Linked DNA regions of Caenorhabditis elegans. The protein of the gene in region 1 interacts with the protein of each later gene in a pairwise test. Each region holds a gene or a part of one and is shown in the gene's direction. Other genes may lie near its edges.

Region 1 (4,823 bases):
GTTCATTGCACCACTCAATGACTGCAAAGGATGTCAACTTGTTCTTGAAGATCTGGATTCAGAACTCACAGCTGAGAATCAGTGATCTTGTTGTAGATGGTCTGAATATTGAGCATCCTGTACATGGAACTATTCTCCGCGGAATAGACTTTACTAGATACGAAGATCCTCTGGTCGTGGATGATGGAATGGTTCAACACGTCCAAATTGTGTGCAAAAGAGGGATCAAGGCAAAGGTTTCCCTCACCAGAACTACTGTTCGATTCGTCCGGCTGGCCGACGATGAGTAAGCAGCGACTTTTGATCATCTTTCACTGCAAATGCCTTCAAATACCTGTGCAATTATTTTTTTCGGTTGAGCTATATGGTTAAATGGTTGAGGTGATGAAATAAATATGTTCTTGTATTTTAAATTATGCAATAAAATGGCTCAAGAAATCGAATTACACAACCGTAAAAATGGAAGTAGAGGGGGGACATTGGGATAAAACATGACTGAATAAATGAAAATTTCGGGTTAGAATGCTTGTAGAAATGCACCGGATGGGGAATCACATAAATTATTTAAAGTTCTCCAGTGGCGCGGGCCTTGTAGTGCTGGAAGACACGATAGAGGGTGTGGCTCAGGTTGTTCCAGTAGTTGTAGGCCTGCTTCATGTAGAATTGAATGACCGAGAGTGGCTCGCCGAGTGAGATTCCAGAGGTGACGTGGACGGTGGAGGAGAGTGGGAGGAAGCCGCGACCTGAAAAATATAAAAATTCATTAGAAACGAGGGGATTTTTATATGGGTCTGGTTGACTACAAACTACAAAATTATATTTAGCAGACCAAGCGATTTCAGTTCGAAATTGGTCTGCTAGACTACAAACTACAAAATTATATTTAGCAGACCCAAGTGATTTCAATTCGAAATTGGTCTGCTAGACTACAAACTACAAAACTGTATTTAGCAGACCATGCGATTTCAGTTCGAAATTGGTCTGCTAGACTACAAACTACAAAATTATATTTAGCAGACCAAGTGATTTGATTTCGAAATTGGTCTGCTAGACTACAAACTACAAAATTATATTTAGCAGACCCAGGTGATTTTAATTCGAAATTGGTCTGCCAGACTCAAAAAAAAACGAATTTTCCTTGATTTTCGGTGTAATTTACCGTAGCACGCGACGTAGGTGTCCTTCTCGAAGCTGTACACGTGGGACTCGAACTGTCCGTGCCTGAAAGCGGCTCCCGAAGCAAAGTTCTCCGACGTCTCGTCCTGAGTTCCGTCATTGAATCGGCTGACTTTTCCTTTCAACACGGTGCACGTCGTATTTGCCCAATGGAGCCCCGGGCGTCCTGAAGTTGGGAACGGAGCGGAGAAGGCGGCGGCGAACTCGGTGAAAGCGGTCAGCATTGGGTACATCTGGAAAATTCATTAAATTTAAGATTTTTTTTCGATTTTTCCTGTTCCTCACCCTTAAAGTGAGGCCTCCCAACTGAATAGCGTGCCATTCGAAGTGACTTGGCATGATTGGCTCGTAATAAGTGCGCATTCCAGACGTCAATGTGGAAATTGACTGGGAGATTGTTGGAGCAGCTGAAAATATACAATATATTAAAATTGCGGTATTTTCGCAGAAAAATATGTTTTTCCTCACCAGCAGCCTTTCCAGCGATAGTCTTGAACTGCTTCGGCGAGATGTCATAAGACTTCCAGCGGAGGCCAAATTGAGCAGCCTGGAAGACTGCGTAGAAGAGCAGAAGATACCGAAGCTTTGAGGTGAGAAGAGCCATTTTCACGTGTTGAACTACCCTGAAAACATGGAAATTTGGAAATTTTGCGTGAAAAAAAAAGGAAATACAGTCATTTCGCGAGTTTTCAAGAGGGACAGCGAGTGCGAAGAAGAAAAATTGTGAGTTTAACATTGATTTTTTGAAATTTCAGATGTTTTTTCGCGGAAAAATCAATGGAAATGCTTGAAAAATGCAAGAAATGGCGCTGCAGCGCGCTGAAAATTAAAAAAATCAGCGAAAAAGGAATTGTGTGCAAACACCGTGACGCAGAAGCACACAGAAAACACCATATCTGACGCGCATTGCCACAGAAGGACCGAGAAGAAAAACAAAAGTCATTTTTCGCCTTTCTCATGTTATTTTCGGGGTTTCCTTCGATTTTTTCCACTTTTAGAAGTCTAAATTTAATTCTACAGGCTTTTAAAAATCAATTTGTCGGAGTTTTGGGCCAAAAAAAAGGCCGAAATCCGCTAGAAAACGTAGTATTTCTATTTGAGAAATTTTGAAGAAATTTCTCGAAAATTGCTCAGCAAATAGTTAATTCCACGTAAATCCTTTGAAACATCATTATAATGCCACGTTTTCTTCATGAAATTTCTGTTTTCGTAATTTCACGCGGATTATCCTCGTTGTCGTGGCAACCGAGTCGGAATTTTCCAGCGATTATCAGTTTTCTCTCGCTTTTCCTGCTAATTCCTTATTTTCCACTCAATTTTCTCGATTTTCAGCTCAAAAATGCCAATCGACTACTCCAAATGGAAGGATATCGAGGTTTCCGACGACGAGGACGACACTCACCCGAACATTGACACTCCGTCGCTCTTCAGATGGCGCCATCAAGCTCGTTTGGAGCGAATGGCCGAGAAGAAGATGGAACAGGAGAAAATCGATAAGGAAAAGGGCACGACGAGCAAGAAGATGGAGGAGCTCGAGAAGAAGCTTGCCGCAGCCGATGTCACTGACAAGTCGGATATTCAGAAGCAAATCGACGAGGTGAAGGCGCAAGAAGAAGCCTGGCGCAAGAAGGAGGCCGAACTCGAGGAGAAAGAGCGTCTGGAGCCATGGAACGTCGACACGATCGGTCATGAGGCGTTCAGCACGTCGAGGATCAATAAGGTTTTGAAGATTTTTCTGTGCAAATTGATTAATTCTGTAATTTCAGATCACCGAGAAGAAGCCGCAAGCTCCCAAAACCGATGAGGAGGACACTCATGCGATGAGCACTTTCTTCGAGACTCACGAGAGCCTTCTGGAGAAGATGGCCGTGCTCAAGAACGGAGCCAAGTCGACGGAGCTGTTCCTGGCCGAGCATCCGCATATGGCGTCGGAGTACACTGCAAATTGGCTCACAATTGAGGCTCTCAACGCCGCCATCGATTTTAATGAGGAGAAAATGAAGACGATGGCTGAGCAATGCATCATCATTCAATATCTTCTGGAGCTCTCGAAATCGCTGAACGCAGTCGCCACGAATACCACCGTCCAGAAGCAATTCTTCAAGAAGTTCGAAGCCGCCGAGCCGGTCTACATGAAGCACTATCAGGATGAGGTGAAGGCGTTCGAGGATCGTCTCAGAACACGTGCGCAGACGAAGAGAGACGCCGCGATGGAGGAGGCTGAAGCCGAGGAGAAAGCCGAACGAATGAAGAGTGCTCCGGGAGGAATCGATCCACAGGAAGTGTTCGAGCAGCTGCCGGAGGAGATGAGAAAGTGCTTTGAGGCACATGATATCGAGGCGTTGAAGGGTGTCGCCCAGAAAATGGATGAAGAGGTGAATATTTGGGTCTGCTAAATTGAAATTTGTAGTTTGTAGTCTAGCAGACCAAGTTTCTTCCAAATGGCATTGGTCTGCTAAATCGGAATTTGTAGTTTGTAGTCTAGCAGACCAAGGTTCTTCAAAATGGCATTGGTCTGCTAAATCGAAATGTGTAGTTTGTAGACTAGCAGACCCAAAGTTTTCAATTTTCGCAATGAAAATTGCAAAAATTGATAAATTTTCAATTTTTCAGCGGAAAAATGAATATTTTTCAAATAGAAATTAGCAAAAATTCAGGTTTTTTGCGATTTTTAGTGGAAAATTGTGCGATTTTTGTGTTTTAAGACAAAAGTGCGTATTTTAATATAAAATCCTGAAAAAATCTGAACTTTCGGGGGAAAATTGATCTATTTTCAAATTTTTGAGTGAATTAACATTGTATTCCAAAAAAAAACGAATCAAAAATCAAAATTTTAAGCTGAAAACAGGCATTTTTTAATTTTGGTCTGCTAAATCGAGTTTTGTAGTTTGTAGTCTAGCAGACCAAATTTCTTCAAAACCACCTATGGTCTGCTAAATCGAAATTAGTAGTTTGTAGGCTATTATTTTTAGCCAAATTCATCTAATTTCAACATCCAAAAATCCAAATTTTCAGGTCTTCAAGTACCATTTCGATCGATGCATCGCCTCTGGACTCTGGGTGCCCGGAAAAGCTGACGACGACGACGACGATGAGGAAGCTGCTCCAGCCGAGGAAGAGCCAACAACCAGCTCCTAAATTTCCCCATTATTCCCCGTTTGAAAGTTCCCCTGATCTACTTGTTTTTTCTGCACCGCACTTTACTTTTTCCCCAAGATTCACTGAAAATGGCCCAATTATTTCTTTATTTATTCTACACCCCCCACGACATTTACTGTTTATTTTCCCTCTCGAACACCTGTAAAAAAGTTTTTTTTTGCTTCGAGAATCGTTCCACTTCGTATTCAAAAATTCCAATTCGGAATAGCATAAAGATTATCATCATCAACTTTCTTCTTATTGTGTTTATTCGTTTTTTTTTCTCACGATTTTTTGAAAGTGATGTTTTGTAAGCAAACGTTAGTCTCCGCCTGACAACTATAAAGTTCAATAATGGATGTATTATCGGTCATTTTTTGGCTGAAAATGGTAAATTCGCGGCTTATTCTACTAGTTTTTGTCCCATTTTCCTTGGCACAATTGAGCTTGTATGGAAGTGAGTCTAGGATGGGTCTGCTAGCCTACAAACTTCAAATTTTGATTTAGCA
Region 2 (5,674 bases), on another chromosome or scaffold:
AGCTGCAACCACACGCTTCTTTGCAACACGCTTCTTGGCAACAACACGCTTCTTTGAAGCAGCTGCACGATGACGGTTGACATTACGATGACGAAGAACAGAACTACGAGTTGGGCAAGGACAATAAGCAGCATCGGATCCTGGTGTTCCATCATTTCCTGGTGCTCCTGGCTGTCCATCTTGTCCTGGATGTCCTGGTTGTCCATTTGGTCCTGCTGGCCCTGGTGGTCCAGCTGGTCCTGGAGCATTCCCGCTTCCTGGTTGACCTGGGGCTCCTGGTGGTCCTTGTGATCCTGGTGCACCCGATGGTCCTGGAAGACCGCGTCCACGTTGTCCAGATTTTCCTGGGCTACCAGGATTTCCTGGAGCTCCGGCCTGTCCTGGTGATCCAGCACTTCCAGCTGGCCCTGGAGGTCCTGGTGGTCCCTGACCTCCACCTTGTGCTGGGGCTCCTGGATTTCCATTTGGTCCCTTTGGTCCAGGTTGTCCTGGAGCTCCAGCTGGTCCTGGAAGTCCTTGTGGACATTTGATGCATTCTTGTTTCTGATGATGAGATGGCCCAGCAACACCAGGCTGTCCTGGTTTTCCAGCTTGTCCTGGTTGTCCATCATGCCCCTTATCTCCTGATGCTCCTGGTGGTCCTGGTGGTCCAGCTGGACAATTGGATGCTTGTTGACCACAATTGCATTGAGATTGCTTCTTTTGACGACGACGACCAAAGACGCTACGAGCCATACGGACAGAATCATCCTGGTTTATCATTGAGTTCCAAGCATCATTGGCAAAGCCCTTCAAAATTCAATTAAGCAAAATGTATTTTTTTCAAACTTTAATTTAATAAAAAACTAACCTTGAACTCTCCCAATTCGCGATGACTGTCTTCAACAAACGAATTAATGTCGGAATAAATATGGAAGACAGAGATCAATGCTCCAAATACCACAATTCCGGATAAACCGGCCATAACCGAAAGAAACATTGCTGAAGACATTCTACCAGGTGAATGACTGTGTTCCAACAATTTTCAGTCACTCCTTTTAAAGCAATAGCCATCACTTGAACTGTTCAGATTAGGTTCACAGTGTAAAGTTTCGAAAAAAGGACAAGAAGAGAATGGGTTCCAGAGAAGTTTGCTGTAATCTGTTGACTTCTTTGTGGCGATGTTCATTAAAAAATATTATACGTTCCCGAAGAGACGCAAGTCATTTTTAAGATTGACTGGCCAATTCAATTTTCTTCTCTTTCAGTTTAATTTAAAATGTATCATATTAAGGAAGCTTTGCAAAAATTTCGGCAACAACAAAATTTTCCAAACTTGTATCTAATTGACACAACTTCGAATACTAGAAAAAAAAACTGTATGTACACTTTTGTCAAGTATTGGTATGTTCAAATTTGTGTCAAAGATCACCCAATCGAATACATCAAATCATTCTGACCGTGTTATCAATCTATGAATAGATGATCGACTTTTGATTTTTAAAAACAATCTCCATCTTACCATCTTATCTTCAGAATGATCTCGTGACGTCATCCCTTTCCGTACTCTCCCTGAACTTTGTATTCAGAAGCTGTATTATACTGCTCATCCCGCCTTTTTGTTCGTCAAACTGGTTAGCAGTCTGGCACACCTTTTCGACAATTTATATCAGAAAAATGAGGAAAATTGAGCTCAGACATGACGGAGCTATTGAAAGATGAACCGACAAGAGTTGGGTCTTGGTGTAAAAAGTATCTTCTTGAAGGTATGGTTTTTTTTCTCGTTTCACTTGTTTTAATTATAGTTATTCAGGTCAACAACTTGACGAGAAACATGCTGAAAAGATTACAAACTTTCCTGTTAATCCAACATTTGCTGATTACATTCTTATCAAGTATCGAAAGTTTGTCGCTGTGTTGATACCGTTTGTTTTCATTCATGTAAGTTTTTTCTCTTCCTCTCTCTTCTCTCAGTTGCCATTAAAGTATTTAAAAAATTTCCAGACATTTTGGTGGGCGACAGCCATCAAGCATGACTTTTTCCATTACTACCCAGAATATTGGCATATGCCTGTTACAATGGTTGTTGGAGCACTCATATCTGGAATGACTGCTGAAGGAGCTGGAGCTGTTGCTTTTCCCGTTATGACTTTAGTTCTTCATTTAGCACCGTCGATTGCTAGAGATTTTGCACTTATGATCCAGTCAATTGGTATGTTCTTGTTTAATTTTGGAATATTTAAGTTTGGCTCTGATAAAGAGCAGTTACAAAACGGTGAAGAAAAAATTGAAATAGTCAAGAAGTGTAGTCTAACATTTATTTTTAATTTCTCAAGCAATAATAACAAGTCTGAAAACTTTTTTGGGAGAAAAGTGAAAAAAAATTTTTATAGAAAAATAGAAAAATAGAAATAGAGAAAAATAATTTAACTACTTTGAAAATGTATAGTAAGTTAGAAATGTTATTCAATAAATCCTCTACAATTTACAGGTATGATGGCTGCATTCGTCTGTGTAATATTTATGAAAGTAAAGTTTGATGAACGATCAGTTATATTTGGCATCGCAGGAGCCATACCAGGTTTCATTTTCGGAGTCCATTGCGTAATTTTTGAATCTTGAACCTCTTGCTGATTTCGAATTACAGATTGATCCTCTCTTCACCGGAGCTCAAAAGAAAATGCTCTTTGTTTCTATTTGGACATCATTTGCATTTGCTCTCGGAATTTTGAATGCTCAGAAAAAGCGACCGACATTTGTTAAAATTCCTGAATTTTGTTTCTGGAAAGGTCTGCTTCTGTTTCTAACAGGTGTTGTTGGAGGAATTTTTGATGCATTTGCTGGAAGTGGAATTGATATTTGTATGTTTTCAACGCTAACCCTTTTGTTCCGGGTTAGTGAGAAGACAGCGACACCTACAACAATGATATTAAAAGGTACACATCCATCATTCTTCATTTGATTATGGAATCTTATTTTGACAGGTGTTGTATCAATGTTCGGGTTTTACTACAGAGCTGTTCAAATGGGTGATATATCGGAAATTGCATGGAAATATTTTACATGCACAATACCAGTTGTTGCGACAATGGGTTCGTTTTGAAATTGTTCGAAAAACTTCAAACATCTTATTGAATTCTGTAAAATCTGCGTAGAAATCTGGCTACTCGGTACTGATAGAACAAACCTAACATATCTTGAAGTTTATAGTTGTAACCAGCTGAAACTTGCTGGTCACTTTTTATATCGCAAACCCTAAAAAACAATCAGCAGACTTCAGATATAACAGACATTTTTCTAAAGTAATCTTCCATTTTTCTCTGTAGATATATGTTGAAAAATGCAGTGAAATATTCAATATAGACTTTGCTCGACGTTTCTTAGCTACCTCTTACCCGGGGTTTGCCCAAGTTTCACGCATCTAACGTCAACGTTTTTTAACGCAAACTCCCTCATCCGGGTCTTTTCAAAGTAATTTTTTATTCATATTTTCTCACTTAAAAATTTTTTAATCCTTTAATCCTTTTTTTGACCATAGTCAGTTTTTGAGCAACTTCCCAAAACGTTCATTTCAAAACAAAACTAATTTCTAAAAGTACAAATAATTTTCTACTTTTCTATGTAAATCGCAGAGAAAAAACTTCGGCACAACATGAAGAAAAATGGGATTCTGTAAAGGTGTCGAAAAAATGTTCCTCACAAATCTGTTGTCTAAACACGACAAAAGCAATAAAAACAAAGTTAGATAGACAGTATTGTATAAATGTTTTTCATATTTTTCACGTGAATAAATAAAAAAATCAGTAATTTCAGCAAAGTTCCATACTATTTTCTGAAAATTTTGATTTTTCCCCATAACATCGTTTATTTTTAACATTTTCTCTTCAAATTTTGATAAATAGTCATACTTTTCAGTCCTCTATCAGATTCCAAAAAAATTTTTCAAAAATGTTGGCTCATCTCCAAAATCGTCCTCCGCTCTGAAAAACGAAAGTGGACCTTCGCCTTCCGAAAAATGGGCGAAAAAATGAAATTGCGATTTTTGGTTCGAAAAAAATATTTTTAGAATGCTGAGAACACGTTAAACACGAATATCATAATTATTTTGAGATCCGGATGTTCTGAAAATGTCTAACATAGATTTAAAAAAGCATGCATTTATTTTCATTTTCAACGTGAAAGTTTTGTGCAGCTTTTAGATTCCAAAAGAATCTCAAAGTTTAGAGATTAATTAGAGATTATTTTTCAGAAAGTTTATATAGAAAGATAAAGAAATATTTGTACTTTCTGAAAATAACTACACGATCAATTGAAAGTTTTCATAATTTGCTCAAAAACTGACTTAAACGAAGTAAAATATCCAGTCTAGACGCGAAGTAACTTCCATTCGGCTGCAGATGTTCATTTAAACTTTAAATTGTTTCGAGGCTAATAGTTTTCACATTATTATTAATTTTCAGCTCCCATTGGCTCATTTCTGGGATCTCATCTTCATCGTCAAGTAATTGCAGCTTTGATTTACATTCTTGAAGCAGCTTCGCTTGTTGGATTCTTATTGACCAAACCAACATGGTTTCTTATCATCATGTCAGGTATTCGTATCCGAAAGTTATAACCATGCCACTATTTACAATACTTTAGTTGTCATAATTGGCTGTGGATTTGTCTTTTTCTCAGTAATGGCAAAAACTGGAGAAGTTCTAATGAGATACATTGATTCGAATCAAGTGGAAGATGATGAGGAGAAGACGGAAATCGAAACAGAGATGGAAGTTCGATTTACATGACAATATGAACAATTAATAAGATTTGTTTTGTATTCAATGTTGAAAAAAATCAATAAAGTTCAAAGCGAACCGTTTGAGTAGGAATGGATATTGCGTAAACGACTTGTGAATGTAATCATTTAAATACTGACTTCGAATCTGGGAATCATAATTAAATTTCTTCACTACTGCTGCTATACAAATGTCCAGCTCCACCTCCCCTTTTCTCTTTTGTTTTGTCACCATCCATCATTTGTCACCATTTTCCGAATATCTTTACATGAATCCACATTTCCGTTTTCTATGACACTCGTAGCACAAAAACGTCCAAAAAAAAAGTCCGAATGACCTCGTTTTTGTTCCATTTATTTGCTGATTTTTCACAATTCCCCAGATGATTTTTTTGACGTTCTTTACTGCTTGACTTCGGGTTGGGACACAGCAAAAAATCGAGAAAAATGGACGCAAAAGACAAAAGAAACGTTTGTTTCTTGTTTCCTGCTTTTTAAATACAACACTTTTTTGCTCTTTTAGACCTAGTTGACTGGTAGAAAACGTATAAAAGTCAACTTGAATCTTAAAAAATTAATGATTCCGACATATGCCGTCCTTTCATGAAAAGTTGTTTGTTCTAATCGTTATTTTCATTGGAAACAATGAACCAAAAAAGAGTAGATTTTTAATTGATCAGTAACTTTTTACTCAATGCATAGGGCGGCAAACTTTTTACAGCAAAATTCCGTAAATTCTAATAAATCGAGGTTCCCGATCGTGGGGGTTTTGCAAACATATTTTGCAATATGAGTACCGAAAAACCATCAAAATAGTTTGATTTGAACCTTGATTTGAGCTTGCAAAATTTGGATACAGTTTTGACACATACCGCCTGGGTTAATCCTATTTGTTTCCCCCGTCATCTATAACCCCGA
Region 3 (4,838 bases), on another chromosome or scaffold:
TTGTCTAGAATGTGACCGAGTATTCAATAACTCGGTAAGCGTCTTCTCACAATCCGTGCTATCGGCGTTTAGTTGATTAAAAAAAACAGTATATTAGTTAGAAGTTGAACAAACCATTCTGATAATTTTATATTAACATGATTTTTAGCCTTTCACATCATTTTGTTTATTAATGGTTCACCAGTTGAAAATTCTTATCATGATTCAATATGCACCGAGTGGCTTCCAAAGACCGCCTCGAAACTACTTTATGACTTTTGATAAGAATCATACCCCTTTTCCCACCATGCAAACAATTTCCGCTCTGCTAATTTTGACTCTTTATCTTGCAAATTGTGTTACTTCATCCCCAATTTGCACAAATGGGTTCACACTAATTAACAACAAGTGCTTGAAACTTTTCAATACTCCAGTCAATCATAGAACTGCTGAAAGATCTTGTAGTAGCTTTGGAGCAACACTTGTTCAGGTCAAAGATTATCGCGTAAGTACAATTTGCCCACAATTTTATGATTTTCCAAAGTCGAGGTTACAGGATAATCAAGCAATTGCGACTATTGCGGGATCTGGAAGTTCTACATTAATATGGATTGGATTATCTTGTTTTGAAAGTGATCCTTCGCAGTGTTTATGGGATGATGGATCTGAATCGGCACAAAGATACAACAACTTTTCCAGTGGTTTGGTTTTATTTATTTGATTTGAGAAAAAAAAACAACTATTCAGTGTTTTAGGTTTTCCAATTGTCGAACTTGGGCAATGTGTTTATTATTCTACGCAGGGAGCACTAACTGGCAAATGGCTCAGCGAGGATTGTGAAAGCCAGCGTGTAGCTTATATTTGTGAACTACCAACAACGATTGCAGGTATCATGATAACGTGTCTTGTGAATGTCCAGAACTTCCAGATAGCTGCACTTACAACTACAACGGGTACTGCTACACATTCAGCACGGCTGATGCACCATTTACTACTGCACAGGGAATTTGCGCAAAAAGCTGTGGAAGCCTTGTGTCAATACATTCTTCAAATGAAGCTCAATATATCACCACCTTTGCGCCAGAAGGTTTTCACTATATTGGAGCGATATGGAATCATAACTCAAGTCTCAACTGGGTAGATGGTTCTGCGTGGGACTACAGTAAAATTGATCCAACATCTCCTCGAATAGATTATTGTTTGAAAATGTCGGTGTTTAACGGTTCTCCGACCGGCTTATGGTACAGTGACAACTGTATCGACAATAGGAAGTACGTGTGCAAGCGTGAGGCTGGTGTGCAGTGCCCAACTGTACCACCAACATCTGTGACACCAATTTCTTCAAACTCATCAAACTGCAACGCAGGGCGACTAATGGATAATGCAGTTATCACCACTCCGAATTATCCAGAAAACTACTTCAACAATGAGAGATGTACTTATCAGCTTTCCACATTGGGGCCAAACAGGGTTTTTCTACAATTTAATTTTTCATCGTTGAATTGAACAATGATATGGTGATCGTCTACGATGGTGAAACGATAAACAGTCCAGTTTTGGGACGTCTCAGTGGTACTATAAGAGCTCCGTTTTCATATACATCAACTGGAAATAACATGCTTGTAACGTTCACGTCAGATGAGAGAACCACTTTCCCAGGTTTCACGGCAAAGTTTACTTCTGTTATCTATAGACCATAGAACTTTTTAAAGATCATGCTACCCTTGTATTTCATTCGTTGAATAAATATTTTCAGTTTAATTCATTCCAAAACTTTATTTTTGAAAAAAGTGCACCTCGACAGGGAGGAGTTTAAACTGTACTGAAACTCAACTTTTTCTGTGAAAAATCTATTCCAATTCCTGCGAAACAAACATCTTATCTGGAATTTTTAATCTTAATTTTCTTTCAATAATATTTTTTCCGAAGAAAAGTGTGACTTTCCAATTAGATGAAACTGCAAGATAAGTTCACCATTTCTCGAAAGCTACCGAAATTTTCCCCCGCAAAAATGGATGACGCCACCGAACAGGAGGTGTTCAACCGAATGCAGATGACACAATTCGAGGAGAAGCGCTTCGAGTTGGTGGTTATAAGGGCAGAGGATACGGTAGTTGTCGAGCCGTTGAGACAGGTACTAGGGGTACTTTAGAGGTACTCTAGAAGTGTTTTGGGGTTATAGTAGGGGTACTGTAGGGGTACTGTAGAGGTAGTGTGATGGTAGTGTAGGAATAATGTAGAGACACTAAAGGCTACTCTGGGATACTGTGAGCCAGATGTAGGGATGCTGTAGAGGTAGTTTAAGGCTACTGTAGGGATACTGTATAGGTACTGTTGCAATACCGTAGTAGGTCTGTGATTCTTGTGTAGGGGTTTTGTAGGGTTACGGTAAGCTACTGCAGAAATGCTCAGCGGGATAGTGAGAGTACTGTGAAATTACTGTAGGGTTACTGTAGGGTTACTGTAGGATAATTGTAGCGGTACTGTAGGATGACTCTAGGGGTATTGTAGACAAACTCCTAACTTTTAAAACGTTTTTTCCAGCGTGAAACTTGCCCGAAATGCCACCAAATACTCAGCTCGGAGCTCTCCCGTCTATGGCACCAATTTGTCCATATGGATGCATATAACGGATTTCTAGATGGAAAATTTCAGATTCAGCTACCAGATTTTGAATTTGTGCGTTCAAATGTTTTTGTTAAACTTATAAAATCTAGTAAAACTAGTGATGTCATTAGGTGGATTCGAACCACGGTGTTGAGATTAATATGCTGTCCAAAATCTCACTGCGCCACTTGGATATTTTGAAAATTTGTTTGCAATTTTCTTGATTTTCAGGTAATTCCCTGTCCATTTTCCACGTGTAGCCTACTATTTTTGGACCTCATTGATGCGAGATTCCATTACCTCCTGGAGCACCAATCCTGCCAACTATTTTGCTGTGGAGTACGGTTTTCAGACTATAAGACTGCTTTGGAGCATTTACAAGGAACTGGATCTGTTGAAACAGAAGCTTGGGATCAGCAGAAACATTTTTTGAAGGTTGGGAAATTTTTATTTAGAAAAAATAAATCAAGGAAAAAATTTTTGCTCCAAATTTCAGCCAGTTTACATCTGCAACTGTTGCAATCGTACTTGGTCGTCACGTAACGAGTACGTGGCACATTTACACGGCCGGGATCATATGTGCCCGGATCCGGTGTGCAAGTACATTTTTGAAACTAATGAGAAGTGTATCCGACACTTTTTTGAGCAGCATTATGTGAGTTTTCATTGGGAATTTGTATTTTAAAATTTGGAAAAGCTGGGAATCTGAAAAATTTAAAGCTTTTTAGCCTGAAAATTTTCTGAAGAAACTTGTTAGGAAATAAGTTTTCGTGAGACCCAAAATTTTCTCAGAATTCTTGTTTGAAAAGTTTCAAACTTCCATAACTCATCTAATTTGTAAGCTTTTTTCTAGTTTTTTTTTGACTCAAAATACTCCAAAAAATTCAATTTATTTTATTTTTAAAAATCAAGTTTTCAGAAACACCTATTCCTAGACTCCAGGCACCTACTTCTCAACTACAAGTACTTTTTGCGCTACCAGGAGAAGCAGGAGGAACGAGCATATGTTGGGCTCTTTTTTCAGAGTTTTTCCTTTATTTTTGTTAAATTTCAGGGCTTATATGTGTGTACCACATGTCAACGCCGATTTCGGGACAACAAGGGGTTTCAGAGCCACGTGGCAAGCCAGAATTGTGAATTTTTTGATAGAAAGGTTGGTTTTTTTCCAATTTTTTCCAATTTTTTTCCTTCAGTTTTTTGTACAAGTGATTGCTTGCAAATGTGGTCACCAATTCAAGTATTGCTATTACCAACGTGACGTGCTTTTACGAAACCTGCCAGTTTTACGTGAAGCCATGGAGCATGTGGAGCGAGAGGCTCCGTTCAATAATATGCCCGAAGATGTGGTGGGTATTTGGGTAGAAAATGGTCTAAAAATTATTAAAATTTTATTAAAGTACCATTTTTGGTTAAAAAAATAAAAAGGGTTCTAGTCCCCACTGAAGCAATTTTTTTGTTTTTTTTTCCTAAATATTCAAAATTTCAGTGCAATATCTACCGATCCATAATTGTGGTGATCATTGATGTGAATCAACGTCTTATCAACGAGAAATTCACAAATTATCAGCGAACAAGCCCACTGAAACATTCCTCGTTTACGCCACGACAGATGGCCAAGCTCTTATTGGAAGTAGTGGACTACTTTTGGAAGATTATGTAGGAAGTTGATAAACTTGCTTGTTTTAATGATATTTATACCTTTTCAACTACATAAAGACCATAACTATACACTTTTAGGGCTTGAACCATATTCAATCCAGTTATCCTAATTTTACTCCGGCCAAGTAAAAGTTCACATTTTAAATTTTCCAGAAAAACTGCCAAAAACCCAACTTGCGTGACAAGCTTCTGCTTAACTTTTTGCACAAAAAACCTATAAGGAACTTTCAGATCGCGTGACACTTGAATCCGGCGGTGTGGCCGGAACATCTAGTTAAATTACCTGAAACTTGCATTAAACTTCTAGGCTCCTGATCGCGTGACAATCAGAGCCGGTCATGTTACCAGAACCGAGTCACTGCACGATATGCCCCATTAATACTAGATCGACGTTACGAATGGCTGGAGGGGTACATAGAACTAAGATTCTTAGCAAAATTACCTGTATATTATAAGAAGACCCGGCGGAACTACAAAAATGTGATCATCAGATTTAATCAGATTTAGTTGTGTGTACTCTCAAACATGCGAAATTAGTTGAAAAGTCCGCCGCATCTGAACTCCCGCCATTCTCGTAGACCACATTTCTATGG

The links.
Region 2: the proteins of cdc-37 (region 1) and C15A11.7 interact in a two-hybrid assay, tested with the Caenorhabditis elegans proteins (one large-scale study listed by BioGRID).
Region 3: the proteins of cdc-37 (region 1) and T07D10.3 interact in a two-hybrid assay, tested with the Caenorhabditis elegans proteins (one large-scale study listed by BioGRID).

Annotation. Positions count from the first base shown.
Region 1 is NC_003280.10:577,578-582,400, reverse strand, and holds cdc-37 (Hsp90 chaperone protein kinase-targeting subunit), read left to right. Parts: upstream 1-1,807; coding exon 1,808-1,899; intron 1,900-2,508; coding exon 2,509-2,896; intron 2,897-2,942; coding exon 2,943-3,551; intron 3,552-3,686; exon of another isoform or gene 3,687-3,740; intron 3,741-4,191; coding exon 4,192-4,314; downstream 4,315-4,823. Other genes in the region: fbxb-14 (F-box associated domain-containing protein), read left to right, coding at 1-290; W08F4.3 (Sigma non-opioid intracellular receptor 1), read right to left, coding at 565-743, 1,160-1,409, 1,462-1,583, 1,645-1,780; W08F4.7 (CW domain-containing protein), read left to right, coding at 4,669-4,771.
Region 2 is NC_003279.8:7,403,362-7,409,035, forward strand, and holds C15A11.7 (sulfite exporter TauE/SafE family protein), read left to right. Parts: upstream 1-1,588; 5' UTR 1,589-1,678; coding exon 1,679-1,745; intron 1,746-1,792; coding exon 1,793-1,920; intron 1,921-1,983; coding exon 1,984-2,191; intron 2,192-2,470; coding exon 2,471-2,583; intron 2,584-2,626; coding exon 2,627-2,915; intron 2,916-2,963; coding exon 2,964-3,071; intron 3,072-4,439; coding exon 4,440-4,571; intron 4,572-4,620; coding exon 4,621-4,766; 3' UTR 4,767-5,150; downstream 5,151-5,674. Other genes in the region: col-62 (Nematode cuticle collagen N-terminal domain-containing protein), read right to left, coding at 1-789, 851-991.
Region 3 is NC_003279.8:12,626,150-12,630,987, reverse strand, and holds T07D10.3 (C2H2-type domain-containing protein), read left to right. Parts: upstream 1-1,905; 5' UTR 1,906-1,990; coding exon 1,991-2,113; intron 2,114-2,523; coding exon 2,524-2,658; intron 2,659-2,817; coding exon 2,818-3,021; intron 3,022-3,082; coding exon 3,083-3,241; intron 3,242-3,505; coding exon 3,506-3,592; intron 3,593-3,640; coding exon 3,641-3,739; intron 3,740-3,779; coding exon 3,780-3,932; intron 3,933-4,072; coding exon 4,073-4,246; 3' UTR 4,247-4,314; downstream 4,315-4,838.